4 linked regions of the Saccharomyces cerevisiae S288C genome follow. The protein of the gene in region 1 binds, or shares a complex with, the protein of each later gene. Each region holds a gene or a part of one and is shown in the gene's direction. Other genes may lie near its edges. The genes, in order: SMB1, SMD1, SMD3 and SNU13.

The links.
Region 2: SMB1 (region 1) and SMD1 share a complex: the UniProt entries of both Saccharomyces cerevisiae proteins name them as parts of the sm core complex.
Region 3: SMB1 (region 1) and SMD3 share a complex: the UniProt entries of both Saccharomyces cerevisiae proteins name them as parts of the sm core complex.
Region 4: SMB1 (region 1) and SNU13 share a complex: the UniProt entries of both Saccharomyces cerevisiae proteins name them as parts of the U4/U6-U5 tri-snRNP complex.

The regions. Positions count from the first base shown.
Region 1 is NC_001137.3:212,087-220,263, reverse strand, and holds SMB1 (mRNA splicing protein SMB1), read left to right. Parts: upstream 1-7,086; coding exon 7,087-7,677; downstream 7,678-8,177. Other genes in the region: ZRG8 (Zrg8p), read left to right, coding at 1-2,207; FIR1 (Fir1p), read right to left, coding at 2,571-5,201; Rab family GTPase YPT31, read left to right, coding at 5,517-6,188; CHZ1 (Chz1p), read right to left, coding at 6,366-6,827. UniProt on the Saccharomyces cerevisiae protein: Plays a role in pre-mRNA splicing as a core component of the spliceosomal U1, U2, U4 and U5 small nuclear ribonucleoproteins (snRNPs), the building blocks of the spliceosome.
Region 2 is NC_001139.9:630,736-638,344, forward strand, and holds SMD1 (mRNA splicing protein SMD1), read left to right. Parts: upstream 1-4,976; coding exon 4,977-5,417; downstream 5,418-7,609. Other genes in the region: Rho family guanine nucleotide exchange factor ROM1, read left to right, coding at 1-538; ENV11 (Env11p), read right to left, coding at 746-3,328; UPF3 (Upf3p), read left to right, coding at 3,569-4,732; U4/U6-U5 snRNP complex subunit PRP38, read right to left, coding at 5,412-6,140; mitochondrial 54S ribosomal protein mL59 MRPL25, read right to left, coding at 6,369-6,842; PEX8 (Pex8p), read right to left, coding at 7,009-7,609. UniProt on the Saccharomyces cerevisiae protein: lays a role in pre-mRNA splicing as a core component of the spliceosomal U1, U2, U4 and U5 small nuclear ribonucleoproteins (snRNPs), the building blocks of the spliceosome. Also binds telomerase RNA and is required for its accumulation.
Region 3 is NC_001144.5:428,516-436,416, reverse strand, and holds SMD3 (mRNA splicing protein SMD3), read left to right. Parts: upstream 1-1,953; coding exon 1,954-2,259; downstream 2,260-7,901. Other genes in the region: tethering complex subunit PEP3, read right to left, coding at 1-1,776; YLR146W-A (uncharacterized protein), read right to left, coding at 2,359-2,547; SPE4 (spermine synthase), read left to right, coding at 2,692-3,594; RMP1 (Rmp1p), read right to left, coding at 3,644-4,249; ACF2 (endo-1,3(4)-beta-glucanase), read left to right, coding at 4,401-6,740; DPH6 (diphthine--ammonia ligase), read right to left, coding at 7,031-7,901. UniProt on the Saccharomyces cerevisiae protein: Plays a role in pre-mRNA splicing as a core component of the spliceosomal U1, U2, U4 and U5 small nuclear ribonucleoproteins (snRNPs), the building blocks of the spliceosome. Also binds telomerase RNA and is required for its accumulation.
Region 4 is NC_001137.3:98,382-105,996, forward strand, and holds SNU13 (RNA binding protein SNU13), read left to right. Parts: upstream 1-3,561; coding exon 3,562-3,942; downstream 3,943-7,615. Other genes in the region: YEL028W (uncharacterized protein), read left to right, coding at 287-748; VMA3 (H(+)-transporting V0 sector ATPase subunit c), read left to right, coding at 2,388-2,870; YEL025C (uncharacterized protein), read right to left, coding at 4,200-7,615. UniProt on the Saccharomyces cerevisiae protein: Common component of the spliceosome and rRNA processing machinery. In association with the spliceosomal U4/U6.U5 tri-snRNP particle, required for splicing of pre-mRNA.

The DNA.
Region 1 (8,177 bases):
AGTCACCTTGTTTTTATAGTCAAACACTTTCCCTCTCACCAAAGATACGACACGGCGACTTACAATCATCACCTTCAAAAGTGAACAAAAACGATAGTCAAAACGAGACCTTGAACAAGAAAAAAGTAAGGATTAGTCTTAATAGAAAAGAAGAAGAAAAGGTGTATTCCCTCAACAACAATTCCGATGAATACTCTGTCAATGAAAAAGAAACCCATAAAGCCAACGATTGTAATGACGAATCTTCTGAAAACGGTGATGGCGATAATGATCATGATGATGATTATGATGACGATGATGATGACGATGATGATGATGATGAGTCGGAATTTTCGTTTGAATATGCCGGCATAAACGTAAGGACATCATCTGTAAAGTATTACTCCAAACCGGAACCGGCGGCAAATGTATACATAGACGATCTATATGAGGATGAGAACTTTGATGACGATATGAATTGTATAGAAGATGATGAGAGTGGTAATGAGGGAAACGAAATATGCGGTTTATCGACTCGATTCGAAGAAACATCCTTGAAAAGCAATAAAGTCAAAAAGTTCAATGATCTTTTTAACTTGAGCGATGATGATGAGGAGGAGGATGGTAAAGATAACAGTAACAATGGAGATGAAAATGAGAGTGATAATCTTTATCAAAAACGATTAGAAAACGGGAAAGAAACTTTTAATGGTAACCATGGCGGACACCATGATGATGCATCTCTTGGAGAAACGGTTGACAACAAAGAGCAGTTTCTAATAAACGATAATGTCAAGAAGCCTATTCAAAAATACAATGACCTTTTCGATTTGTCTGATGAGGACGATAACGACGACAAAGAGATGTCAGAAGCTGAGTCTTATATGTTTTCCGATGAAGCTCCTAGTATAGAAAGTGGACCAGCAAATGCAAAATCAACACGGGGGATCTATAGTCAATCTAACAAAAATATCATACGTGATGGAAAGCCGAACTATAGTTTCTCTCTCAAAAGGAATAATTCGGATGATGAAACGGAGCACACTTCTGCAATAAAGGCTTCCCTTACAGGTACTACTGGCTCTACCAAGCCTACAGTAAAGTCGTTTTCAGATATATTTAATGTTGATGATAGTGCAAGTGACGCTGAAAGTGATTCTGGGACAGGAGGGAACAATTCTAACGGCTTAGTATCCAATGATTCAGAAAGGCAGGTCTCCCTGCAAAGTTCTTTGTATGAAACCAAATCAGAATCCCATCCTCCCAATCATCCTCATTCGCAGATTCTTCAAACACCGGCTAAGATTGTAATAACTCCAAGCGTTTCTGATGCGCAATCACAAGCCCTTGCAATCACCGATGATGATGGTGAAGATGATGATGATGACACTAGTAGCATACTAAGAACTCCGTTTCAACTTATTGATTCCTCTCATTCACAGCAGCCGCACTATGCGAGCCCACAGTATACGGCTGTACTCAATAGCCCCCCTCTTCCGCCGCCAGCTAGGTCTCAATCACTAAAATATCATGACTTAAATTGCGATTTAGATTCAGAAGTCCCCAGACCAATGAGTAATCTCTTTTTCATTGATGAAGCTGAGGAAGACGAATACAATCAGAAAAGTAAGTTTTTTGATTTCGACCACTACGACATCGATGAAATTAATGGCATTCCAGAGGATTTTAACTTCTCTGATTCTGAAAGAGATGATCTTAATCGTCGTACACTGAAATCTCCTTTACGGGGCGGCTCCAAGAATAGAGAAGTCTCTCCTTTTTCATCTGTGTCATCGTCTTTCAGAAGTACGCATAGTTTTAATGGGAAATTAACGATCAACCAAGGGGCTAAAGAATTAGCTCCGATGAAAAATAAGATTGAACTTACAAACAAGACTGTCACCTTCTTTAACAGTAATAATTGGAATACTTATGACTGCAATTCACTCTCCCGAAAAACTTCATCCCAAATGAGAGATAGTAAATATCAAAATCATAATGTTGGTCAAAACGTAGAACCTTCAAGTGTTCTTTCGCCACAACATCAAATATCGAATGGTTTAGATGGAAAATGCAATGATAACTACGTAATCTCACCAAATTTACCGACAACTATCACACCAACTAATTCATTTACTAAACCCACACCGGAGTTCTCAAATGACTACTCATTAAGCCCTATTCAGGAGACACCATCTTCTGTTCAAAGCTCGCCAAAGAGAGCGTGAGAAAATACTGCATGTTTTTTATGCCCGTAGCCTCCACATTTCTTCCCTAGTAGGTGACTAGCTTTAAAACCTTTGCGTAATGTTCGTATTTGTAATCAATTGCATGTGCCAAGGATGATCTTTGGTAGATATAAAAGTACATATTATTAATTTGTTTTACAGAATTGGCATGTCTGAATATAGTTTTTTTAAGAAAGTACAAAAACTAGAAGTTTTTCTTACATGTAAGAGATATGAAATTTTGTAATGTCCGATGAAAAAATAAAATAGGCAATAAGCAAATTGCCATTCCGATAAATCTTCATGCGATGAGCTGGTCAAATCTGTTTACCAGAACAATTTGTAGGGTTGTTTTTTTTTTTTTTATTTTAGTTTGCGATGAGATGGAATGTCGTTATGAATACTGGACTGATACTTGTTCGGGATCAAAGAATTCCCTTTTTCATCATACAGTGGAAAAGGCAACGGCGGAAGTACTCTTGATTTTTTTGGCTTTGTTTGTTGTCCTTTTTCTGAGAATTTATGCTTCTCATTTACCAGTTGATAAATAATTCTTTTTGCATCATCTGCAGTTTTATCACACATGCCCAAAATTTCGTTGCAATGGCTTAGACGTTTCTTCTGTTGCTCATTTTTAGCTTTTTGAGCATGGCAGACTCTTGTTCGTGATATATCGTTATTTTTGAGGCCTACATCTTCATCCTCATCTAAAAGAATAACCTCAACCATTTTACCATCTCTTTTTTCGTAAATGGTATTAAAATCCAAATCGTGTCTATTTGAAGGAGTATTCTTATTCCTGGGGAACGAATAGTTGTTCTTCTGGGATGGAGGACCATGACCTAAATTTTTAATTGATCGTTTTTCTTCTATAAAGTTATGTTCTAAAGTTGACCTGTTAATGGTCACAGAAGGTTGAGATGTTGTATCCGTAATGGCAGTATTGGAAGAAAACTCAGAATTGTAGGAAGATTTACTACTACCCGATTGTGACGATTGGCTATTGGAAGATAAAACACTAAATGGAATTGAATGCGGATTCACACAGTTTCTTTGTTTACCAATTAAGTCTGTAGGAGTTTGGTTCAAAGGAGTTGGTTCCTTGTTTTGAATTTCTTGACCAAATGAATTGAATGAAGATAGCGGTTTGAATGGCTCTATCGATGGAACACTTTTTGTTTCACTAATTATTGCAATAGAATGGTCAGCAACTTCAGTAGAAAAAGCTTCGTTTTCATCCTCTGGGCATTCAATAAGTGATGGTGATGGTTCTCTTGTATGAGAGATACTTTCATCTGGTATAATTTGAATCGAAGGTACCGAGATTTCTTGGAGGAAGGACCCATTTTTAGGTGATTGAGCTTCAGGAGGAATATCAGATGTTTTTGGAGATGACGTGAACCGTAAGGGTGATCTCTTAGGTATTTCAATGGAAGTACATGGGTTAGAATGTTCAACAGGAATTGAGGGAGCAGAGGTCGGAGCTGGTGGTGTGGAGGTTGCCTCGAAATTTAAGGAAATGTCATCAATATTATGAACGCTCCTGCTTCTCCTATGTTTATGTATCCTCGGATTATTATTCGTCGGAGATTTTTGCAAGTCTATTAACATCTGTCTTCTGGATTCAAATGATTGATTCACAGGCGAAGTATCAACTTTCAGGAAATCTTCATTGTTCGTGTCTCCAGAGTTTCTATTTTCATGTACCTTATCCACATTATTGTTAGTAGTACTGGAGGGAAATTTGAATGACATATCGAGTTTGTCCAGTGATTCAGGGTTAACTTGGCGAGTTGGAGAAGTTGGCTCCTCGCTAGGTTCAAACTGCTGGAAAAATTTTAATGTCCCATTTAAACCTGTGCTTGGTGGGGATTTCATGTGCTCTAAGTCGGGGATGTCTATCAGTTTATTTGGTGTTGACAGAATTTTTAACGAAACATTTTTTTCAGTGTTTTTTTCCTCACATTCCCTATCTGTTTTACTCTTAATATGTTGTGGGTTTTTGAGATTTCTCCTTTGTATCTTCAGATTGACGTTGGCGTTCTCATCAATTCCAAGAAGCTTATCAGCATCTGCATTATTTAACTCGAAAGACACATCATGGTGGGCATATGGAATAGAATCATCTTCATCTGAATACGACGATGAGGGCTGTTCTAGAGAAGATTCAGTTGACGATGAGGTGTTACCTTCTTGAAACTGGCTATAGCCATCCCCATCGTAAACCAAGCTACTCCTCTTTTTATCCTTGTTTTGCGGAGATAAGTAGGGCGGCAGAGATATTTCTAATGGAACTGGTAAATGATATCTGTTCAATGGCGATTCAGGAGTGAGATATAAATTCTTTTCGGGAGTTAAGGGAGGAGGCCTGTCAAATGATAAATTCAGCGGAGATACTTGGCTAATATTACTAGTATTCTCATTAATACTGGTCTCAACCTCGGTTGCACGATATGTGTTCATTGTATCCACAATGATCGACTGTAATGATTTTGATCTAGAATGGTTTGGTTCTTTTCCACTACTACTTGTGTTGGACCTAACATCAGAACGAGTTTTACGGTGCCTGCTTTCACATTTTTTTCTCCTGTTATGATGAAACTTCCAAACTTCTTTAGGGACATCGACCAGTATTTTAGAGTGCATGTCGACTAAATGACCATGGCTATTCATAAGTAATGATGAAGTAGACATTCTTCTTTCGGTTTCATTTCCACTCTTGGGGAATACAATTTTCAGTGGGGAGTCCTGTGATATTTCATTTGGATCTGGAATGGAAAATCGAACCTGCGATTGTGTATGCTCATGGGGTTTCTTGTTCTTGCTCGATCTCTGTCGCGGTATAGCAACACTCTCTATATTATTAGTTCTATTAATGGCTAGTAAGTTTTCGCGTGGGCACAACACATCACGGCATTGATCATGGTCCATCTCATGTTGTATCGATAATGTACTGCACACTTTGCTCTTGACAGGTGTAACAGGGAGGCTCATAATCGGAAAAAAAGCTTCAGATCTATCCCAGCGCAATCTAATTGCACTAATTAGGTAGTAGTCTTGCTGTAAGTATGTTGTATTGTTGTTCCTAGGCGTCAATTCTACTGTTGTTATGTTTGGGCTCGTTTGTTGTTTGTTTACCATTTTCCAATGCGGAATATCACAGGCCGCTGCGGTGTGCGGGTGCTAAATTAGAGAAAGAGGGAAACTCAAAACTTTTCAAGAAAGAAACGAATAACAATTTGACCTTTATTACAAGGCACTTTGTTTAGGCCAGCAAAGGGATTCTGACGGCGTCTGGGGATTTCAACAATGAGCAGCGAGGACTACGGGTATGATTACGACCTACTATTTAAAATTGTACTGATCGGTGATTCCGGGGTAGGGAAATCCAATCTATTGTCAAGATTTACGAAGAACGAATTCAATATGGATTCAAAGTCTACAATTGGGGTTGAGTTTGCCACCAGAACTTTGGAAATTGATGGCAAGAGGATCAAGGCGCAGATTTGGGATACTGCGGGCCAGGAACGTTACAGAGCCATTACTTCTGCTTATTATAGAGGAGCTGTAGGTGCCTTGATCGTTTACGATATCAGTAAATCAAGCTCATATGAAAATTGTAATCATTGGTTATCAGAATTAAGAGAAAATGCAGATGACAACGTCGCAGTGGGGCTTATCGGTAACAAGTCTGATTTGGCCCATTTACGTGCTGTACCTACGGAGGAGTCCAAGACTTTTGCACAGGAAAATCAGTTATTATTCACAGAAACAAGTGCTTTGAACAGTGAAAACGTGGATAAGGCTTTTGAAGAGTTAATCAATACCATCTATCAAAAGGTCAGCAAGCATCAAATGGACCTTGGTGACTCCAGTGCCAACGGGAATGCCAATGGTGCGTCCGCTCCTAATGGACCAACGATTAGTCTGACACCAACACCAAACGAAAACAAAAAGGCAAATGGAAATAACTGTTGTTAAGAGATATTTTGCAGCAGTTGCGCACTTGCATGTGAATGACTCTTCTCCCCTTTAATTCTGTGCTATATTTTTACAATTTTCTGCTGACATATAGTTTATATACATATAGAACGCATATAGGAAATTGAAGTAAACAGAATACACAAGTAGAGGCCGGTATGTACGACATTTTGCTTACTACTCTTTAAAATCATCGTCTTCTTCGTCTTCATCGTCTTCTTCTTTTTCACCATATCCTACATCATCTTTAGAGCCTGTGCTAGGTTCCTTCTTGTCTAATTCTTCTGCAGTCTTTTTATAGTCAATTACTTTGCCGCGTGTTCTTCTTCCGGATGTGATGATATTAGAGGTATCAATTTCTGCCAAATCGTCCTCTTCTTCTTCTCCCTCATTTCCCATCAATGCGTCTAACTTGGCATCGTCCATATCAGATTCAGAATCTTCAACAGTACCATTATTTTCGCTCTTCGTCAAACCATTTTTAGCCTTAGTCTCCTCTTTTGCTACTTCAGCGTCATAATCGTCATAGTTTCTTCTTCTTCTTCTCTTTGGCTTAGGTTCCACAGACTTTTCGGATTTATTATGACTTGATTCCTTTTGGCTTTCTAATTCACGCTTTTCCTTTGCTTCGTCAGACATTATTTCTCTCTTTCCTTCCATGTATTGAATTTTACTTACCAGGTGTGTTCCCCAATTAACCACCCACCGAGCTTCCTTATTTCTCCATGTTCTTGTTTTTCTCACGATAATGTGGGAAAAAATTCAAAATAAAAATTATGAAAATAAAAAATGAAATTTAAAGAAGCCTATGCTAGTTAGAAATGAACAAGACAGGGAAAAAAGTAGAAGGGGTAACAGAACCATCCGTATAACAGGTTTCCAGTAAAGTAAATAACTAATGAGCAAAATACAGGTGGCACATAGCAGCCGACTAGCCAACCTTATTGATTATAAGCTGAGGGTTCTCACTCAAGATGGCCGCGTTTACATCGGGCAATTGATGGCATTTGATAAACATATGAATTTAGTGTTGAATGAGTGTATAGAAGAGAGGGTACCCAAAACTCAACTAGATAAATTAAGACCGAGAAAAGATTCAAAAGATGGAACCACTTTGAACATCAAGGTAGAAAAAAGAGTGTTGGGACTGACTATACTAAGAGGAGAACAGATCTTATCCACAGTGGTGGAGGATAAGCCGCTACTATCCAAGAAGGAAAGACTAGTGAGAGATAAAAAGGAAAAGAAACAAGCGCAAAAGCAGACGAAACTAAGAAAAGAGAAAGAGAAAAAGCCGGGAAAGATCGCTAAACCTAACACGGCCAATGCGAAGCATACTAGTAGCAATTCTAGGGAGATTGCCCAACCATCGTCGAGCAGATACAATGGTGGCAACGATAATATCGGCGCAAATAGGTCGAGGTTTAATAATGAAGCGCCCCCTCAAACAAGGAAGTTTCAGCCCCCACCAGGTTTTAAAAGAAAATAAGGTTGATGTAGTGTAGTCTAATATAGTTTCCGTATACTTTTTTTGTGTACGCATGTGTGTTAATAGGGAAATTCATAATTAACTTAAGGAAGCATTTTTTTACTATTTTTTCATTACCTAAACATAATTTTAATTTTAATCCCTGTGTGGGATTTTAGGGTGTACGAGATATGTAAGTTATGAGCATATTTTTCCTTAGTTGACGAATAACCTTTAAGTCCTAGGAGGTTCAATATGCAATTGCATGCTATTATGCAACTCAATTGCTCAAGGGGCTATTCAGGTTTACATAATACGGATGAAAAAGATAAAGATCTCGGAAAAACTGAAAGGCACTCTTCGGAAAAACCTCTTTTATGGGGGGTGTTCTGGGGCAGAAACCAAAACGGCGGAACGCGTCCGGAAAAACATACATAGACCACACCGTAGAAATTACTTCCTTGGAGACCCCACCAAAAAATCCTTCACTAATTTTTCCGTGTATAAATGATTTAGCTCCC
Region 2 (7,609 bases), on another chromosome or scaffold:
TAAAAAAAACCTAAAGGCAGGCTTGGTAGATTTTAGCGTTGATTCTGAACCTCTGTCCTTTTCTTTTTTGGAGAATAAGATCTGCATTGGTTGTAAAAAAAATATCAAAATATTAAACGTACCGGAAGTGTGTGATAAAAATGGATTTAAAATGAGGGAGCTTTTAAATCTACATGATAACAAAGTTTTAGCGAACATGTATAAAGAGACGTTCAAAGTAGTTTCCATGTTTCCGATAAAAAATTCAACTTTTGCATGTTTTCCAGAACTCTGCTTTTTTCTCAATAAGCAAGGGAAGAGGGAGGAGACAAAGGGATGTTTTCATTGGGAGGGGGAACCAGAACAGTTCGCGTGTTCCTACCCTTATATTGTGGCAATTAATAGTAACTTTATTGAAATTAGACATATAGAAAATGGAGAACTTGTCCGCTGTGTACTTGGAAACAAGATACGTATGTTAAAATCATATGCCAAGAAGATCTTATATTGTTATGAGGATCCTCAAGGATTTGAAATTATCGAACTGTTAAATTTTTGAGTTGACCGCCCATATTAATACCTTAAAACTTATTTCTTGAACCTATACATCTAAATTTAAGTAATATTATTTTATTTGTATAACCATATGTAGTTTACCTGAAATATATGGGTGCCATTAAGAAAATATAATACAATGGACAAGAATTTTGTCCTAGAAAATAAAGTCTTGAAAGTATATTGTCCTTTCCTTTGGAATATTATGTCACTAGCAAGCATCGAAAATTGATCCAGAGTGAAAATTAATTTTTTCGAGATTAAACTGTGAATTCAAAAGTTTGATTTTAATTGTTTCCTCACTCAACTTGGTACTGAAGTCTTGATTAGCTGTTAGAGAAGATAATTCTGACCGTATTGAAGATGTCGAATTTACTGAAAGCAACTGAAGTAAAATATCGATTACTTCAATCTTGTTTTTACTGCTTATGTAATTATTCCAAATTGAATCCGAGATAGGAATATGAATATCAAATGTCTCTTCCATGGGATTTAGGCACCATTCCCCCGAGTTAGAGTCGTTTTCCTCAGATAACTCATGTTTTGTAAAGTGAGATCCATCGAAGCTAATATCATTATCATTTAAGTAGTCATGGTATGCATTAGGCAGCTCATGCGCAATTCTGTTGACATAGCGTAATAGATCATCCCGAATGATTTGGACAAGTAATGAATCTTCTGTTAGTGGTGCGGTTAACTTGGTGTTACATAAAAGCTCTACGTCCCGTGATTCTTTCATAAAAATGGCCTCGTAGTCAGAAAGAAGATTATTACCGGAATTCCGACCGCTCTCCCCACCACTATTAGAGGAACGAAAATTAGTTATATTGATAAAGTTTTTAAGATACCTTAGAACAATTTTGGTCATGTTATGAACTATTTTATTTACCGATGTTGTGCCAAAGATTTCATTTAGAAGGCTTTTACTTTGGAAGATTGATGGATACAGGAAAGCACCAATCAAGTTTACATCATCAAGTAAATAAAGGTCTTTAACTTTTAGAAGCCTTGCTAGGATTTTTTCAAAGGGCTTTTTAGATTTGGTGAATTTGAAGCTTCGTATAATCTCTGTCAAATATAACTCAAACTTAATGATAAAAACCAAGGTATGGGTAAATTTCAATGGAGCGGAAGAAGCAAAGTACTCAATTGATTGCTCGAAAGTTCTTAACGTCTCTTCTACCGTGTTTATTAGACGAAAATCGGATTCACTAAGTGATTCATTTTCTAAATGAGAGTTGATAGACTTGAAGAAAGGAACTAAGTTTGCAAATTTTTCTAAGATACTCTTCAAAGCTGAAAATCTATCGCAGTTACAGGAAAGGATTGAAGTAAGTTCATTGCAGTTAGGTTGTGTATAATTTTGGCAGTATAATAGGAAATCCGATTTTAGGGAGTCGTTTAAGTTAACTTCTTCTATCAAACAGCATATTTTGCCGAGAATAGTAGATGATAAATCAATATGGGAAAAATCTATTAATGAGTCTAACAAAGAGCCTCCTGAATGATTTTCTTTGGCCACAGAAAAGGAAGACAGCATTGATTCAGTAGGAACATTAAACAACGGCTGTAAAAAACAATGAAGTAATTCAGATACTATGCAAGTATGGTACTTTATCTCCCTCACACTCCCGCTATGGAAAGTAAAATTATGACTGTTTCTATTCTCTAGTACCATTGTATAATGGCTTTGAGGCAAAGTTATAGAAATCACCGATTTTTGTAAGCCAGGGTATTTCGAATACAAATTGTTGAGCTGTTCCTGCCAGACACTAATATCTATATCCGTTGTTTTACGTACAAAAATAGATAATGGTAAACCCTTCGAAACTTTGTTGGTATTATCGAACAGTTGCAAAGAAAATAATGATCTTTTTCCAGCCAGTTCTGTAAAATTTACAGAAATAAGATGGGATAAGTCCAAGTTAGACAATTGTGCCCGAATTTCCCTAGAATATTTCAAGTAAAGAGGTTGATTTGATTCCTTACTATCGGATAAATGGATAGTAAAGGGTAATTGTGTATCATTCCTTGATATAGACCTTCTGATCAACTCATCAATTGATTTTGACAACCCTATAATTGACTCCTCTATTATATTGGTAGTTAAAGGAGGGATCCTATGAAATTTTGATAAAAGAGATTTAAAGGACACATTCTCAAAGAAGTTCAGCGGTAAATTTTCTGAGGCTATGACTATGGCTACTAATTGGGAAATAGAAAGGTAATTACTGCTCTGTAATTTTCCTATGTCAAAGCATTTGAAACTTTGGTCGGAATTGAAGGTTAACGAATCATAGCCGTGTCTACGTGTAATTTCTGTGCTGGAAGTATTGTTTTTGAGATTGGAGTCTCCTACTGTGAAATTCATGGAATAGAAGTTTTTATTGGCACTTATATTATGCTTTGTTTTCAAGTGAGATCTAAAGGTTTTTGTCAAACTTGCATCGCTTCTTGTTAGTATCTCTCCACAATGTTTACATTTAACTTTCGTTAATTTCTTTTCAATTGCTAGAAAATGGGACCAGAACTTTGCTATATTCTTCTTGAGCATTTGAACCGGAATCCATATATTTAACCCATCATTTATGATTTCGTCTTCCGGATGAATTCTACTTGATAGGATTTTATTGCCGTCTTTTTCTATAAGTTCTATATCCTCAGTATCGTCTTCTTCCTCGTCTTCCTCCTCATGACTAGTAGAGTGAGAAGATGAATGATCAGAATTATTGATGATTTCGTTATCTTCTAAAGTCACCAAATCCCCATGTAAATCATCCAATGCAGTGTTCATATTAATGATTGAGTAGATTGGTACATATGCTATTTCGGAAGACTTTTGTTATTCTATGGTTTATCATCCCTTTATTTATTTTGTGTATTGTTTGCTGATCAAAAGTTGAAAATTTTTCGCCTAAAAAGTAAGATACAAAAGAAAATATTGTCGATGATTATTGCATGAATATATCAGCAAAGAGGAAAGGAAAACCTACTGAGGGACTTACATTTCTGCTGAAATATATAGTAATCTATCATGAGCAATGTGGCTGGGGAATTGAAGAATAGTGAGGGGAAAAAGAAAGGCAGGGGAAATAGGTATCATAACAAGAACAGAGGAAAAAGTAAGAATGAGACGGTAGATCCTAAAAAGAATGAGAATAAGGTTAATAATGCTACTAATGCTACCCACAACAATAGCAAAGGCAGAAGGAATAACAAGAAAAGGAACAGAGAGTATTATAACTATAAAAGAAAGGCTAGATTGGGTAAATCAACCGAGAATGAAGGATTTAAGCTTGTTATTAGATTGCTACCTCCAAATTTGACTGCAGATGAATTTTTTGCCATCTTACGAGATAATAATAACGATGATGGTGATAAGCAAGATATCCAGGGTAAACTCAAGTACAGTGACTGGTGTTTTTTTGAAGGTCATTATTCTAGTAAAGTATTCAAAAACTCGACATATTCTCGGTGCAATTTCTTGTTCGACAACTTATCAGACTTGGAAAAATGCGCAAATTTCATTAAAACTTGTAAATTCATTGATAATAAGGATAATATTACAATTCCAGATATGAAACTGTCGCCCTACGTAAAGAAATTCACTCAAACATCAAAAAAGGATGCCGCGCTAGTAGGAACAATTGAAGAAGACGAAATTTTTAAAACATTTATGAATTCAATGAAACAGCTGAATGAAAATGACGAGTACTCATTCCAAGATTTTAGCGTATTGAAATCTTTAGAAAAAGAATTCTCAAAAAGCATAGAGTTAGAAAATAAAATAGCAGAAAGAACAGAAAGGGTGTTAACAGAGCTGGTTGGAACTGGTGATAAGGTCAAGAATAAGAACAAAAAGAAGAAAAATAAAAACGCCAAAAAGAAATTCAAAGAAGAGGAAGCATCCGCTAAGATACCAAAGAAAAAACGGAACAGAGGCAAGAAGAAGCGTGAAAATCGTGAAAAAAGCACCATTTCTAAGACCAAGAACAGTAATGTGGTTATTATTGAGGAAGCGGGTAAAGAGGTTTTGAAACAAAGGAAGAAGAAAATGCTTTTGCAAGAGAAGTTAAAAATATCAAACTCCTCTCAGCCTCAGTCATCATCCGCTCAAACCCAGCCGTCGTTCCAACCTAAAGAAAACCTTTTCGTACCACGGGTAAAAATTTTGCATCGTGATGATACCAAGAAGTAGTAAAAGCTCATGGCTTCTTATATATTATATATGGAATACATTTATAATAAAATAATAAGAATTATATATTTTATGATTATATTATTACATAAAGTATTCCCCATTATAAATTCTGAGTTTCGTATTTAATGATTTTTCAATGAATATTTAAAATAATAAAATATATGAAATGTTCATATACAATGAAATTGTCATGAAGAAAGATGACTCCAAGTATCGTTTATAAATCGTCGAGAAAAAGATTATGAAGTTGGTTAACTTTTTAAAAAAGCTGCGCAATGAGCAGGTTACCATAGAACTAAAAAACGGTACCACCGTTTGGGGTACACTGCAGTCGGTATCACCACAAATGAATGCTATCTTAACTGACGTGAAGTTGACCCTACCACAACCCCGACTAAATAAATTGAACAGTAATGGTATTGCGATGGCTAGTCTGTACTTGACTGGAGGACAGCAACCTACTGCAAGTGACAACATAGCAAGTTTGCAATACATAAACATTAGAGGCAATACCATAAGACAGATAATCTTACCTGATTCCTTGAACCTGGATTCACTTTTGGTTGACCAAAAGCAACTTAATTCCCTAAGAAGATCGGGTCAAATTGCAAATGACCCCAGCAAAAAGAGAAGGCGCGATTTTGGTGCACCAGCGAATAAAAGGCCAAGAAGAGGTCTATGATTCGCTGCTGGTGTCGTTGTCATCTTCACTGTCACCATTACTTTCGCTTTCGCTAGAACTACTCTCTTCATCAGAGTTGTATATTTTATTCCATTGACATTTCCCTAATGGAATACCCCAGATATGGTCCTGTGTGGCCAACCAATCGACTAATTCATCAATGTGTATTATACAAAGTTCTTCGTTATAGGAGTGAGCAAAGCAGTCTACTTGTAGTGGGAAACTTTTTAGTTTGAAATAATGCTGTGAATATTTGTATAATTGTACTTTAAATAACTTTATCAAATCATTTTCATCATCATCGTTTTTGTTATTGCCATTCAAATAATAATACTGTAACCGCGCATAAACCAGAAGCAAAGCAATAATATATTTCGAGTCAAAACCGTTCTCATTTTTTACATTCAATAAGAAGTTCAACTGCTGGAAATTCGGTCTGATTTCGATTAACTTCATTAAGATGCATTTAAACTCAATGCCACCGAGAACCATCATGTGTAAATGACCATTTTGACCTTTTATGGTACCAAATGCGCCAATCATAACTTTCAAAAGCTCTACCATTGTATTGCCTCTCAAAGATTCGTTGCTTAGATTTACTTTATAGTACATTGAATTATGAATTTTATCTCTTGTCAACCGAGGAATAACAAGTGACACTGACTGGTTATTCAGTTGTTTTGGAGAGATGTTAGACTCCACTTGAAATTCATTGACAGCCATTGTAGTCCTTGTTCTTTACCCACGTTTTGTTTTTGTTCTTGCGTTTTTACTGCCACTGAAAATATAGCGTTGTAATGGCTTTAGATTTTACTTTTTTTTATCATAATTCTTGTTCAGAACGTTCGTTATTGATATCACAAAATTATTTACATGATTAGACATTAAAAACATAAAACAGTACACATAGGGTTTACTATTCTAAACTATAGTTATCTTCTCTCTTATTCTTCAGAACCAGCCTATACTTTGGTTTTTTTTCATTTTTTCTACTCTCTTGGCATACTTCGAACCCTTCTTGGAAGCAATCAACTCATCTACCTTCTTTAAAGCTTCTTCACGTTTTTTTAGCTTTTCGTTTAATTTCAATTCATGCTTATGACCCTTGGGCAAGAGAACACCTTTCATGAGGGTCTTTTTATTGTATTTCTCCTCGAAGAAAAGTTTCTTAGTGTTTTCGATCGGTGGTAAAAACTCTTCTACTCCATAACGCAGTGCCAACTTATATACGTCACTCATTCTTCTAAGTGAATATTTCGGATCATGAAATCGTTGTGTGACCGGATGTTTATTTGGCAGGAAAGGATTGGCATTAATGGCTTTAGTAGATGTAGACACTGGAGAATACTTGATTGAAGGGGGGTATCTTTGGAAAAAGGACTTCAATTTCAAAGGCAAACTATCAAAATACTGTTTGTATGACATGGAGTTTAGTTTAATGCACTAGTTGGTTTTCCTATTCTGTATAAATGGTTCACTTTATTTCGTATTTCACTTGCTCTTCCACTTTCACTTGTATCCCAGTCATTTTTTTTTTTTGTTTGAGAAAAAAGGAATATAAAAAGGCGCTACTATAAAGTACTTAATGATACTATAATTTAGAAGATTGACTTGATAAGACCGTTGTGTACCACCAGTCGATGGCTAGGGAGGATTCTAGACTCGAAACCATTTCCCACAATTGTTGAAGTAGCTTTTTGTTATGTGTATTGATTAGCTGGAGACAGATGTTCAACCAGCCGATCAAATGATGAGGATTGTTGATAAAGGCTATTTGTACAATCAGACATTCAATCAATACATTCTTCTTTTCTGGGTTTTTTACATTAACAATTCTGATATACGTCTCGTGCAAAGAGTCCCTAAGCAAATGCTTGTTATAATTATGTAGTGAGGGAAGTTGTGTGGATAGATGGCCGAATATAAGTAAAATTTGATTTGCGGACAATTTACCTGCAATAAATTGGTCCATCGACATCTTTAAATAGACGAGTATGCGGGATACTTGCCATTGTGCAACCTGTGAGGAATAAGAGGAGTCTATAGACAGTACAGTGATTGTCAATGTGTGTATAGATTCTTTGATTTCAATATCCAAGGTATTGCCCGTCTTCCCGCTAAAAAATACATCGAAATGCAGTAAAGGTTCGATAAACTCAGTAATAAACGGCAAACGAATGCGACACCCATAG
Region 3 (7,901 bases), on another chromosome or scaffold:
TTGCCAATTTGTGAAAAATTTTAAAATTGTTGGAATTAACTTATTTGGATCCAAGTCTTTGATTTTCATCCACGTTGACACAGTAGCCTCTGGTGAATTCAATAAGAGAATCAAAGAGTACTTATAGACTAGGTCATGGTTATTTATTGTAAGCAGAATTTTCAAGGACTCATACCAATTTCCTTGGTCAATCCAAAATGATAATAAAAACTTCATATCGTTGATTAGACTAGCAAAAATCAATAATTCGTTTTGCCGGTTTTGTTTGGACATTATTTGATAAACGGTTTCATTATCAAGTTTTTCTAGATGGCTTTCCAAAAATTTCGTTAGTTCATTCGATTTCTCCTTGAGATTCAGGTTCCAGTTTAGCAAATTGTCTTCATCAGTAGAAGCTGGCTTAGTTGTGTTTATCTTTAATTCAATATCATTCAATTGTTTCATAAAATTCCAAATAATCCAACTCGACAAGACGACTTGAGTTGATTTCCAGGGAACGTTATCCAACTGTTTTATCAATATTACGTTCAAATCGTTGTAATCTTTTATTTGGAGAAAATTCAATGCGATTTCCCCAAAGTGTGACAAGTCCTTCATGCTTCCCAAAGTTTGAGCCGCGGAATGAAAATCTTTAGCAGTGTGGAAAAGGTACATTGCCTTTGAAAGTTTTACAGATTCTATTTCCCTCACCGTCAAGCCTTTCAACGATAGGGCCTTGTCAAATTTGTTATCCCGAACTAATAAATTCCATACCGAATTAGGCTCATTTTCGATAATAATTTCAAAGACGTTGATGTTTGAGAAACACCAAAACGTTTCTTTCACCGAATCTCTTACTAGGCCTAAAAATTTCTCATTACTATCAGTGTTGGAGCCAGTCAACTGGTGTCTCGGTATAGTTTCATGAAACACTACGTCGTTATTTAATTGACTCACCATTGTTACCGTATTTTTTCTCAAAAGCAGGATGTGGAAAGCAGTCAAAACTATATCCTTGATGAGGTGATCTTTATCATTCTGGTAGTCAGGCAGTTCGAAATTGAGTAGAACCTTCGACGAAGATAGGAATTTTCCAAAATTATTAGAAGCAGGATCTTTTTCCATTTGCTTTTCTTTTAAATCACCAAAGACAATTCCATTGGATGTGACCCAAGCAAAGAGTCCATTGTACGAATCGAATTTCTTTATCGCATGATGTTTTAACCTTTCAAATTGCTCAGATTCATCTGGTAATACTAAAGGAAATTTCATATTTGTCACGTCTCTCCAGTATAAAATGTTGTCTTTTATAGTTAATAGCAGAGAGCCCTCCCAATACGCAATGCCATCAATTCCACCAGAGAGTTTCTTGTTTTCATACCATAGCTTCGTGGTTATATCCTTTCCTGTCAATTCAACTCGGTACAACTTGGGCGTCTTCTTGATTCCCATCAGAAAGGTGGTTTCGTTGATCCAATGTAGCGAGCTGAGGTCGAGATTTTTTATTTTGTTCAATTGAGTGAATTCGCCATCCTTTAGCAACATATACCGGCCAAAGTTGGTTCGAATAAGAATGACACTACCCATTGGTGAAACATGAACATTCATTATAGTTTCTAGTTCCTTGCTTAATGGACAGTCAAAGTGATTGACGATGGCCGGATCTTGTAAATTTATTCTGTAAATTGTCCGTTGTGTCGTTACTATAAGTTGATCATTGGAGACTTTCAAATGCGTAAGTTCGGTATTCCCTGTGAGGAATTGTAACTGAACTTCCTCTATACGTGTTTTTATCATTATATCCCTATATTTCTCTTTTTACTTCTTGGTACCTTATAGTTTTTACTTTTCTAGGGATGGCAGCTTCTTATTTCTTTCGTTCTATAGATTTGATATTTTTGAAATCGTTAAAAAATTCTTATAAGAGCAATACGAAGAGAATCAGAAAGCGCTGCGAGGCACGTATCAGAAACAATGACTATGAATGGAATACCAGTGAAATTATTAAATGAGGCACAGGGACATATCGTTTCTCTGGAGCTAACAACGGGAGCGACTTATCGTGGTAAACTTGTTGAAAGCGAAGATAGCATGAACGTACAGCTAAGAGATGTAATAGCTACAGAGCCCCAGGGGGCTGTAACACACATGGATCAAATATTCGTACGTGGGTCACAGATCAAATTTATCGTTGTTCCAGATCTCTTAAAGAATGCACCATTATTCAAAAAAAACTCATCAAGACCTATGCCACCAATAAGAGGACCTAAGAGAAGGTGATAATAGGAAACGTGACGGCAGAAACGCATTCATCATTGTAGGGGGAATATATATATATATTAATATTGTTTATGTAAAATATATTTGAATATAAATTTATCAGTTCGCACTGTTCGTGGTTGAATCCGCTGTTGTAGATGATTCCTTTATTTGTTCAAACTCGTTAAGATCGCAGCGAATTTGAGAATTCGTATCCCGCAACTGAGCAAATAACTGTTGTATTTCATTTTGCAACATCCGGGCATGCTCTACTGACGCTGTAGTCTTTTTTTTCTCTTCAGTGTCCATGGCTACTTCGAGCTTCTCTTTATTGCTAGATCCTTTTTAAGGTTATCTCAAAATTTTTCAAGTTGCTGCTGATTTTAGTTAAAAATAAAATATCAAAACGCCGATGAGACAGGCAGGATAAAGTGACAGATTCAGTTATACATTATGGTTAATAATTCACAGCATCCTTACATCAAAGATGGATGGTTTAGAGAGATTAATGATAAAAGTTTTCCGGGCCAGGCCTTTACTATGACCGTGGACTCAATACTTTATGAAGCCCGCAGTGAATTTCAGGACATCTTAATCTTCCGTAACAAGGTATACGGTACTGTTTTGGTCCTCGATGGTATTGTCCAATGTACGGAATTTGATGAGTTTGCCTATCAAGAGATGATCACCCACATTGCCATGTTTGCGCATTCTAATCCCAAGCGTGTACTTATCATTGGCGGTGGGGACGGAGGTGTCTTAAGGGAAGTAGCCAAGCACAGCTGTGTAGAAGATATCACTATGGTAGAAATTGACTCATCAGTGATCGAATTATCCCGTAAGTTCTTGCCCACATTGAGTAATGGTGCTTTCGATGACGAAAGGTTGGACTTGAAACTTTGCGATGGCTTCAAGTTCTTACAAGATATAGGTGCTTCCGACGTCCATAAGAAATTTGACGTCATTATTACAGATAGTTCTGATCCTGAAGGTCCAGCTGAAGCGTTTTTTCAAGAGAGGTATTTCGAACTATTGAAAGATGCTTTAAATCCTAATGGCGTTGTTATTATGCAAAGCTCTGAAAATTTTTGGTTAAATTTAAAATACTTACATGATTTGAAAAATACAGCCAAAAAGGTATTTCCTAATACAGAATATTGCTATACCATGGTTCCAACCTATACATCTGGCCAATTAGGTTTAATTGTTTGCAGTAATAACGCCAATATACCGTTGAACATTCCGCAAAGAAAGATATCTGAGCAAGAACAAGGGAAGCTGAAGTACTATAATCCTCAAATACATTCTAGTGCGTTTGTTTTGCCTACTTGGGCAGACAAGGTCATTAATGAATGATTTATTAGCATTGATATTATTATTTTAAAAAGTCTATTTACTTGTATATTTATCCGAATATGCCATCAATGGCTGATTTGTTCTTCTTTTTCCTTTTCTTTTTCTTCTTACAGTTCTCTGTCAGAGGCTTTGGTATAGACGTTATCACTAGTTCGTTTTCTTGAACGTTGTTGCCAATATCTTCATCTATAATTTCTCCAAGTTCTTCGACATCGTTCACAACCGATTTTGCTTTTGTTCTCGGTAAGTTCTTTATTAAGCATCCACATCTTATAAACTCAGTTTCATTAATCTCCCATAATCTCATATACAGTGCCCTCACATTTGCCAGCAATGTTACTAGTGTACAACCCAACGTTACAAATTGTCCCAGCGCAATTACGCCATTGAACTGCCAGTACCATCTCTTTAACTGTCTAAAAAGTGCTCTCTGTAATAGCCTGTGCAACTTGACCCATTCAACATCTTTAAGGCGTTTGGCTTGTAATCTTCTCGAGCTAAAAAGCGTTATTATTTGTCCACAATTTCTTTTCATCTCATTGAACGATCCATACCAGCTAGCCGCTCTATGTTGATTTTTGTTCCTATGGTTCAAGAGCAATATTAACCGATATTCTTGCTCCAGAGATCGTATCACATTATCCATCTCATCCATTTTGTTTCTGCTCTTTTTTTTTTTGTGGATATATCATTCTAGTACTCATTTCTTTGAAGTTTTTTTCTTGGAACCATAAATAAAATTCATGAATTTCTGAAAAGTGCTAGTATCATAAAAACAAAAATAAATAAATACGAGAAGTAAAAAGATGTGTTACAGTAGGCAAGCCATTCCTCCACCTGTTCCTAATAGACCTGGCGGTACTACCAATAGAGGACCTCCTCCCTTACCACCTCGCGCAAATGTTCAGCCACCAGTTTGTTCTTCTGAGAACTCCAGTAAACCTCGAGAAAATAGGGTGGCAGGTGAATCACTGCGCACACCAAGCAGTTCTAACCCTTTAGCTGACAGCCAGGTGAATAGTGACAATATTTTTCAATCACCTGTCCTTTCTAACTTAAAAGCTCCTCCTTCCGTCTTCAACAAAGTTCAACACCCGGTACCAAAGCCGAATATTGATGATCAATCTGTTGATCCATTGGAGACAAACAAGTTCTACACAAACATGTTATTAGACGATAATACACAACCTATATGGACACATCCTTATTCAATTTGGTTTTCTCGTGATCCAGAATTGTTTGGTTTGGCCGCCAATCATACTTTAGCGTCTCAAAGGGTTTTTGATACAACTACAAATCCTCCCAGATTCTACTTCAATCCCACAAATATAAAATCATTTGTATTCAAGGCCAGGGAATTTGTCTCTTCAAATGATATCAAGCTTGAATTCCGGGATATGAAACATATGTCCATGTGCTTACTAATGTCTTTGAGTAGTTCCCAGTTTATAGAATTCCCGCTGGTTCAGGGGATGGGCTTTGTCACGGCTATTTACCACGATTTGGGTTTTGAATTAAGAAGCGCCGTTGGTTTCAGGAGCTTAGAGCGCATAAGCGTGAATGAAAGATATGGTAAATATAATATACAACTTGAGAATAATAGGAATTGGATACTTTATTTGACCTCACCTGATTACTCTTTTCCACAAGATTTTCAAATTTCATTACTCGACAGCAATACAATAATATCATCTCATAAAATCAATGGTCTTATCTGTCAATTATCTGCAGACTCCGTCCCCAGTATTGACATGGCAGCGGGCTGTTATCCAGTATACTGTGACCTATCAGGGCAAACTGTTGATGAACATTTCACAAATTACAGATTTAACTATACGGTTGCAGGCTACTCGCAGTCTGGAACTACTCTAATGTATGCTTTACCACATCATAAAGCGGCATTCACACCAGAAATGCAGGAACGTGAAATTGCCTCAAGCCTGGATTCCACAGTTAAAGGCTTAATGACTGGTTATCTCACAAACAGTTTTGATATGCAGGTTCAAGTACCTCAAGAATTGGGCTTTGAACCTGTCGCGTTATCTTTGAATAAGAAGGCAGATTACAGTCAAGAAAAGCTATCTAAAATTCGGGAAGCTGCTGTTCAAGAAGTTCAATTGAGTGACCCTCAACAAGAATCAAACATAGATTCTATGTATTTCTCTGGTAAGATACTTGCAAAGTATGCGTGGATTCTTTATGTGACACATTACATCCTTCATGATGAAAATTTAACAAAAGAATTATTATCTAAACTGACTATTGCAATGGAGAGATTCATCAGCAATCAGCAAGTCTTACCTTTAAATTACGACGTTAGTTGGAAAGGCATAATTTCATCAGGCTCTTCTAGCCAAGACTTTGGTAACTCTTATTATAATGATCATCATTTTCATTACTCTTATCATGTCATAACGGCTGCCATTATCTCTTTAGTCGATTCTGATTTAAGTGGAGTTACTAACAACTCCTGGTTAGAAAATAATAGAGATTGGGTTGAGTGCTTAATTAGAGATTACTCTGGTGTTGACAACGATGATCCGTACTTCCCTCAATTTAGGTCATTTGATTGGTTTAATGGCCATTCATGGGCCAAAGGACTATTTCCAAGTGGTGACGGTAAAGATGAAGAATCTACTTCAGAAGATGTCAATTCTTGCTATGCGATAAAATTGTGGGGGTTGGTAACTGGAAATTCTAAGTTAACTGACATAGCGAACTTACAACTCGGCATCATGAGAAATGTTTTCCAGAGCTACTTCCTATACGAAAGCAATAATACTGTCCAACCGAAAGAATTTATTGGTAATAAAGTTAGTGGTATTTTATTCGAAAATAAAATTGATCACGCCACGTATTTTGGCATGGAGCCTCAATACATTCATATGATTCACGCCATTCCTATAACATCAGCATCTTCATGGGTCAGAACACCAAATTTTGTCAAAGAGGAGTGGGAAGAAAAAATGCAGCCGATAATTGATCAAGTGAATGACGGTTGGAAAGGAATAATCATGTTAAATATGGCTCTGCTTGATCCAAAATTTTCGTACGACTTTTTCAGCCAACCTGATTTCAACAGAAATTTCCTAGACAATGGGCAAAGCTTAACTTGGTCTTTAGCTTATTCAGGTGCTTTTTCTTAGGGGTCAGAAATATATACAGTGTTAGTAGCATGGTACAAGTGTTACGATAAGGTATTTTATAGAATGATCATTTTTTTATATGAATATTGGTTCCTAAACCATCATCAATAATCAAATTATTACAGAACACACCTTAATTGTGCGGCGTATTCTAAATTTTACGTGTTCACAATATGGTGTTGTTCCTATGATTTGCTAACATATTTGGGATCTGTCTATCATTTACACCGCCAGGAGCGTGGACAGCGTATATCTATTAAGTTTATAAAATATAAGGCCTACATTTGGAGTTAGGAACGAATATGCAACCCAAAGCGGTGTTCTTTACCACGGTAATCAAAAAGTTTCTCCACCGGATAGTATCCAATGTGATGGTGGAAAGTGATGATTTCTTTGGGATTATAATAGAGGGTAATCTGGGCTGATTTTGGGGTTTTTTCCAAGATAAGTTCTAACTCCTCTCTACTATCTACAAATCCCGTAATAAAGTTTCTATTATATCCAAACGCACTAACTGTAGTGTTATGAAAACCTTCAATATTCAAATTCAATTTCTGGAATACGGTTGAAACATCATCATTCTCTTCCCTTTCTTTCTTGTCGGAATCATTATCGTCCACTATTAATCTCTTACAAGTAACACCACCAAATTCTGCAACAGCGCCTCTAGGTAATTCAGAAATCTTTACAAGAACTAGGCATTTTTCAACATCATCAGATTTGTCCATCCATAGATCTGATCTATGATTCATATTTGAACAATAAAACGCCCATGTTTTGATGACAGAGTCGAGAACCGATTCGTCTGAAATATAGCATGTCATGAGTAACTTTTCTTGAGCTCCTATTGTTTCACACAAAGTATCAAAATGTTGTAATGCCAAAACTATTTGGTCAGTGAGAGGTGTTCCTAATATTTCCATTGACTGCGGTACTAGTCCGATTTGCCCACTGATAAAACTGACTTGGTTTGCATCATCGTTTAACCAAGTACTTTGGGAATATGGTCCGATATTACATGGAGCCCAATATGAACGGCCTTGAACATGTAGTCCGCCCTTATTCTTGTTGATTTTTTCTTTGCCTGTATTTTTTACATCAACAACAACTGATAACTGTACGTGACAATCTTCTGGCAAGCACTTCGAACCTACGCATGCT
Region 4 (7,615 bases), 110 kb from region 1:
TCACTTTTTTCCTTACAATGAATACATGTGATATAGATACTTAATTGTCTGTTTTGCGAGCTTGCTTCTTCATATCTATGTAATATGGGCCAGGTCAACCCAACATCTACCAATTATCTATATGATGAAAAATATGATTGGTAGTTACCGCCAATGCATAGATTTTAGACAACTTAATAAGGCCATGTTAAAGGGTGCATTCCCACTATCGCGCTTAGGATTGGATGAAGCATAACTTTTCTTCACTGTCAAATTGCATCGTAGTTATATCAGATCCAAATAAAAAATGAAAATAACAATAACAAGCCTTCTATTTTTTCTTGTCATGATCGTCGAGCTCGCAAGTGCGGGCACACTACTTCATAATGGTGCAAATTTGCCCTCATTACGTGATAACACCACTCTAACTGATGCTCGTAATGTGTTAAAGTACTTACAAGTGCTTGGTTTTCCAAGCAACAAAATAGCGGCTACAGATACTGTTGGAACTTTTATCATATTTAGCAATCGTACGGAAGCTAACACTACCGCTATGACGAAGACAGTGTCATACTGTTATCGTAACTACGGGCATAGTTTCTACTTCACTCATTACAAATACGACTATTTTCCTAGCGGGATTAGTTATATGGCAAAACTTGGCGATGCCACCGTCAACCATACGGACTTACCTCACTTTAGGAACAACAAACGGCTAACAACGCAAGAACTCAATGCCTTCCAACATCCAATTGTCGAGTTTCAGTAAGTACTCAGGTATTACGTTATGTACATGTATGATAATTCTGATTAACATCTTTTATACACAAAGATGTATGCATGAATGGTGCAAATATCTCGACGATGCGCAGTAAAGAAAGCAATTTACTACTAACGTCTAGCGATATCATAGATGATGACAGGATAACGATATAGGTTAGATGGATATTGGAGTAATTGTCAAGTCCCATTTTGATTGAAGACAACATTATTAGGCCTACAGAGTTGCTAAAATTCTCCACTAGGTCACAGGAGTTCGCAAAAGAGAATCAACAATCTACATAACCATGCACACATTTCTTCGTCCTCTACGTTATAATTTACTGCTCTAAAAGCGTCACTTCTCCTTTCATTTTATGTTTTATTGTTCATTATCCTACTGCGTTATCAATCCTTACATTTCGGCTTCCACTAAATTTAATGACTGCTTCTCATCATTTCATGTCTTCTAACGCCGTATATAATAATATCCCAGCAAAATATAACTGTTAGTTAGTGAATCATAACCGACTGTTACTCCTGCAATATCCATGGGAGAAATCACCATCGGAAGGTAAACTAACACGTAGGTATTGATTCTACCGGAAATGAACAAATGTCGTACTGCCCAAATGAGCCAAATGCCATCATATACGCCTTCATAACTATATTTGAAAAATACCTTTGCCTAAAAGACGAGTGGTATTGGAAACTTCAATTAGTGTTCAAAAATGTCCAGTGAGAGGATGAAGTTGTCGTGGTTGAAACAGCATAAACCACCTAAAATAGTATCAACTGACAACAACTGTGGAACACATGCGGTTACTTTTATAATTAACCGCAAAATACCTGAAATGAGCTAAGAAATAGTAATTATAAACATGCCACTACAAGTAACAGATTAAGTGATATGTTGGCGGACCTCAATATAAGCGACATGGAGAGATAGAGATAGAAGAATTTGTTATTGTGTTAATAAATAAAGTTAACATCCAGTTCTTTCAAGTTGGCTAAGCGCCGTGGCGCAGTGGAAGCGCGCAGGGCTCATAACCCTGATGTCCTCGGATCGAAACCGAGCGGCGCTAATTTTTCATTTCTTTTTGCCCGCAACAATAACACAGATCGCAATCATTTAAGCTATAGACTATAAGCTTTAACTTCTGCGTTATTATTAATAATTGTTATTGTTTTAGTTAGGTATTTCTATCAACTTATTTTATATATTCTATATTACAGTTTTCTTTTTTTACAAATTCACCCAGCAATTATTTATTATTAATTGTACATCTTCTTTAATAATGAATTTATTATTGCACAATATTCAACTTAGGAAAGATAGAGGAACTGAATTCTTTATCAGCAATGAAATAGGCCGTCTACGGCCGTCTACGGCCTATTCCATTGCTAAAAATTTGAATCGTATAAAGGGATATTACCCGGAAAAGAAACGCATTAAAAAAAAAAAAAAAAAAAAAACAGAAAAAGTGGTTAAGTGATTGACTGACCCTTGATAGTTTTGTACAATTATACACTCGTTCTGATTAAAAACTTGTTTATAAAAATCTTTTTAAAAGAAAGAGAAGATCGTGTTTATTGCTTTTCTCAAAAAGACTAATCAATTAGAATAACAAAAGAAACATATACATATAATGACTGAATTGTGTCCTGTCTACGCCCCTTTCTTTGGTGCCATTGGTTGTGCCTCTGCAATTATCTTCACCTCATTAGGTGCTGCTTACGGTACTGCTAAGTCTGGTGTTGGTATCTGTGCCACTTGTGTGTTGAGACCAGACCTATTATTCAAGAACATTGTTCCTGTTATTATGGCTGGTATCATTGCCATTTACGGTTTAGTTGTTTCCGTTTTGGTTTGTTATTCGTTGGGTCAAAAGCAAGCTTTGTACACCGGTTTCATCCAATTGGGTGCCGGTCTATCAGTCGGTTTGAGTGGTCTAGCTGCTGGTTTCGCTATTGGTATTGTCGGTGATGCAGGTGTTAGAGGTTCCTCTCAACAACCAAGATTATTCGTCGGTATGATTTTGATTTTGATTTTTGCTGAAGTTTTGGGTCTATACGGTTTGATTGTTGCTTTGTTGTTGAACTCCAGGGCTACTCAAGATGTTGTCTGTTAAGGCAGCTTCTGAATCACTAAAGCAGGAATAGAGTATACAAAAGAATCTTTTTGTGAGAAACTATGAAAACTATCAAAATTTTTCATCTTAGAGATTGTTTATAGCCCCTATTCTTACTTCATATCCAAACTACCTCATTTCAAGCTTCCTTTTTATTAGTACCATTATTATTGTTTAAAAGAGTATTACACGCTAAATATGTATATCTTAATTTTTAATGTGTATAAAATAGAAAATTTGAATATCAAGGAGCAACAAAGAGCATTATGCGTTTTAAGCTACACAATGGGTACGATGAGATCACTATACCTGTACTCTTAAAAGAGGCCCAACCTTATCAACTTCTATTGTTAAAGTAGACAATTGTATCGTTTCTTTTTCTTATCGGTTTTATCCGGGTAATAAATTCAGCATATAGAAAAATTTTTCATTTCTATTTTCTTTTTCTTTTCATTTTTCCTTTTTCTCAGAAAATTTTTTTTTCTAATGCTGGAATGAGATGAGTTAGAAAATTTTTCACTTTAAAACTGATTATTCTGGTTAATAGTGCTTATTCCTCTTAGTGTTCAAGTCCTACTTTCAAATCTTAATTTAAATCATCATTCGAGCGAGCTTTCTATACCAGGACCATACTGATTATTGCAAGGAACTTGAATAAACCAGATTTCATACTATAAAAACTATATTAAAAATGTCTGCCCCAAACCCAAAGGCTTTCCCATTAGCCGATGCTGCATTAACCCAACAAATCTTGGATGTCGTTCAACAGGCTGCTAACTTGAGACAATTGAAGAAAGGTGCCAACGAAGCTACCAAAACTTTGAACCGTGGTATCTCCGAATTCATCATTATGGCTGCTGACTGTGAACCTATTGAAATCCTATTGCATTTACCATTACTATGTGAAGACAAGAATGTTCCATATGTCTTTGTTCCATCTAGAGTTGCTTTAGGTAGAGCTTGTGGTGTTTCTAGACCAGTTATTGCTGCTTCTATTACCACCAACGATGCTTCTGCTATCAAGACCCAAATCTACGCTGTCAAGGACAAGATTGAAACTTTATTAATTTAAGTAGATTGGATTATATCTATCAACATAGTTTTTGTACCATCTATATACTATAAAAAAGTTTTTTGCTTTCCACTAGTGCAGACGCTAATAGTGCTGTTTTGTTAGTGGTATGATATATGTCATATCTTCATTGAATAACCTACTCGAGTGCATCTGTAAATGCACAAACATGTATTATCAATTGAGCTGTAGTAATTTAGGCATAACAAAAAGGTGCAAGATCTCATGGCACCTATTCGTTCGTAGGAGATTTATTGTCACCTTTTTAGTTTTACAGGATCGAAAAAATCTATGGTCTTGTATGGTGAATGATCTATATGTCTTCTCTTTGAATTTCTAGCTAGCTCATCAAAGCCGCTTTCATTTATTCCAGTCTCTTTACTCACGGAATATTGTTTAGTAACATTTCGCATGCTTTTCTCAGACCTTCGAAAAGCTCTTTTACATTCGAGCTTGATCTTTTTGTAATCATGCAACGTTCTCATCCACAGCTCACCAATGAATTCCGATATTATATAAATTTGGCCCTCAGTACCGCAAAGTAAAAATAGAGGTATGACGCCTTCCAACCTTTGACTATTGAAATTTGGACATATTTGAAGGTTTTGAAATCCATCTGGGATGGCCGCCAGTGAGATTATCTTATTAGGTAACCGAATTTTGAGGTATGGCATAGCCAACCCGCCCTTATCAACTGATAATTTAGAATCTTCGTATATTGTCAAGGTATTATCAATACCAATGGTGGCAACATAAGATCTATTGGAATATTTCAACGTTGCACAAGAAAGGTCTGATAATCGACCTAATAGATAGTTCTTATCACTCGCTAAACAATCGTTTTTAGGTTCTCTTAGCTTCTTAGGAATTATTTTAGTCGCCACTTGTGTAATGCTTCCCAACCGCTTAAAACCCAAGTAGGGACATTCAGGGTACTCTGATGGATATACTATGGACGTCCTAATTGGAAAGCGGGTTCTCAAAAAATCTCTCAAGATCTCAAATTGAACCAGATAATCACCACTCATATAAGCTGGAAGACCTATATGGTTAATCGATGAAAGTGCTGGGAAGGAATAGGCCTCTAAAATTTCCGCGCCCTCTTTTAGCATGTTTATTTTATATGCTGCTATGCCACTATCACCAGAAAATAAAACCAAGTTGCACTCATAGTATATGAACACCGAGAATATACAATCTTCGAGATAATTCGCGTACAATTGGGTAATGTTATTGTTTCTAATTTCAAACAGCCAGAATTTTGTACGTTTTTCACCAACTCCTAAGCATACAACAAACTTATTACCATAAAAGGGTCTCTGTGATAAGTAGATTGAGTTTTGTTCTGGCCACAGTGGCTTCACAACGGCATGTAAATACTTTTCATCCGAGAAACTGAATGTGGAAACTGCCTTCATTGAAGCATAATTGAATAGCATCAACTTATACTGCCTACTATTGCTATCGACCAAACACACCACGGCCTGATTGAGGTTATTTGGAACAGTATAGAGCTCTACGGGAATGCTAGGGAGGTAAAAGATATGATTTTCTAATTGAGGTTTTAATGAAGTCATCTGCTTAGTGAAACCTTCACGGTAAAACGTGCTACCAAACTCAAAGATGCTTATTCGAGAATCATAATCTAAAACACAAAGAGAGAACAGTGCTTTACCGGGTCGAATTCTCATTCGTCTTGGAACTAAGCCTAACTGTATGCAACCATAAGACATGTTTTGAAGATTTAACAAAATTATTTCCTTATCGTTGTAAAGGAAAACCAAAGGTAAGGAAGGAATCGTATCCAACAGTTCTAATTTCTGATCGTATAACGAATGAATCTCTAAATCCACTCTCAAAAAATTTGATTCTGATTTGTAGACTCTTACGCAGCCAGTGTATGATGATGCGATGACATAAATCGAGTCGTGTTTATGCTTTTTGCTTAGCCAAGATATTTTTATCAATTGATCATAGGCTATGAAAGAATAGTCTGGATGTGATGTAGCCACTTTCTTTTGATTGGCATTCCATACCGAAAACACACCGTCCAAGTAAATGACAAAAAGGTATTTCTCGGCACCATCTGAGAAACAGCTCACAATACTCTCTTTAGAATTGAGCCCATGGATAAAAAATTCTTCTTTTTTACGTAGAAAACCAGATTTTGCCTCAAGTATCGAAATCCTGAGCTTGGAGTTCTGTACGGGATAACAAAACATGGTGGAAGAGTTGTGGTTCGACTGCAAGAAATCGACCTGCCTAAATTCTCCGGTAGAACCATCCATACCGGCTTTCAAAACTTTTCCCGTCCTAGAAACAAATAGACCGTAATCATAAGGCTCATCCATTAAAAATATTCCGTTCTTATAAATCAACCCACCTGATTCATATGCAAATTCGTCACCACCATTAAGTGCTAAATCTGTAACCCAAAAATCAGTTACATTCTCTACTAGCGCTTTGGAGGAAGTCACTAACTTGAACAGGGTTTTGTCATATACCAAAATTTTCTTTTCTAAAAATCCTCTTCTTGAGTTAAAACTTCCACCCAAAAGCAGTGAATCAATATCTGTCCCCTTGTTTCCAATAACTTGTGATGCCAGGTAAACTTTGTTTGTATAAGCGGGACCGCTTTTCACCTTTTCTAATTTTGAACCTCGATGATCTTTCGATATAAAATTTACTCCATTTATTCTTGTCACCGCTATATACTTTTCACGTGGGAGCTGCAAAATAACATCGCATAGATCATGTTTAGGAGGCTTGAACACTCTTTCTTTTGTCCATTGTAGTTCTTTCAGGACGTGGTCTCTATGTAACGACCTAGTGTGTATCTTGGCAGTGTATTTGTTAGCATACACGTCAGAAATTGTCAAGAGAATGACTGATCTTTCATATATCACATCATAAGAATCTTTTAGAAATTGGTAGTTTTCTACATTTGGGAGACCTTTATTATTGAAAAAAGCCCCGTTTGTAAGCCCACTTGCTTTTATATTTATTATTTGAGTGTAGTTAGTAGTCAACACTACAATGGTATGGCCGCAAACTACCTTCATATAACAAAATTCATTATCACATATCGGCAAAAGATTGTATTGGCGGTACTCGTTTAAATCAAATTTCCTACTTCCATGCTTTCCAGCAAGATTGTATTCCTTTAAAAACAGGTTTTCACTATAGCAACTCTTAAGTAGGCAAAGAAAATAAACGTGTGATTTACCTGTGCATGTGGCGTCGTCAAGCAAATCCTCCCTGCTAATAAAATCAAAGGAGATAATTTCTTCGCCATCGGTGGCATAAAATCTTTCGACTATTCCTTCTCTGAAGTCAAAGGAGTAAATTGTCGTACATAACGTATGCAAATCACTATCATATGATATGTTTTTATTGCAAGTGTATAAAACACCCTCAAAGGAAGCATTTAACCAGCTGGAAGTTAATAAAGAAATAGTATCCAGTTTCGGAGCCACATTAGAGTCGTAGATAATTTCAAATTTGTTATTTTCGCATTTGAATCCCTTAATGGAACCGTCGTTAAACATTAGCAGGTGACAGAAGGAAGCTGACATGAACATCGGTACAGTTGCGTAGTTAACAACGAACGGTCCATCTAAAGCGAACTCAACCTTCGCTTTCAATTCGTTGGACGTTCCGGTATACAATCCAT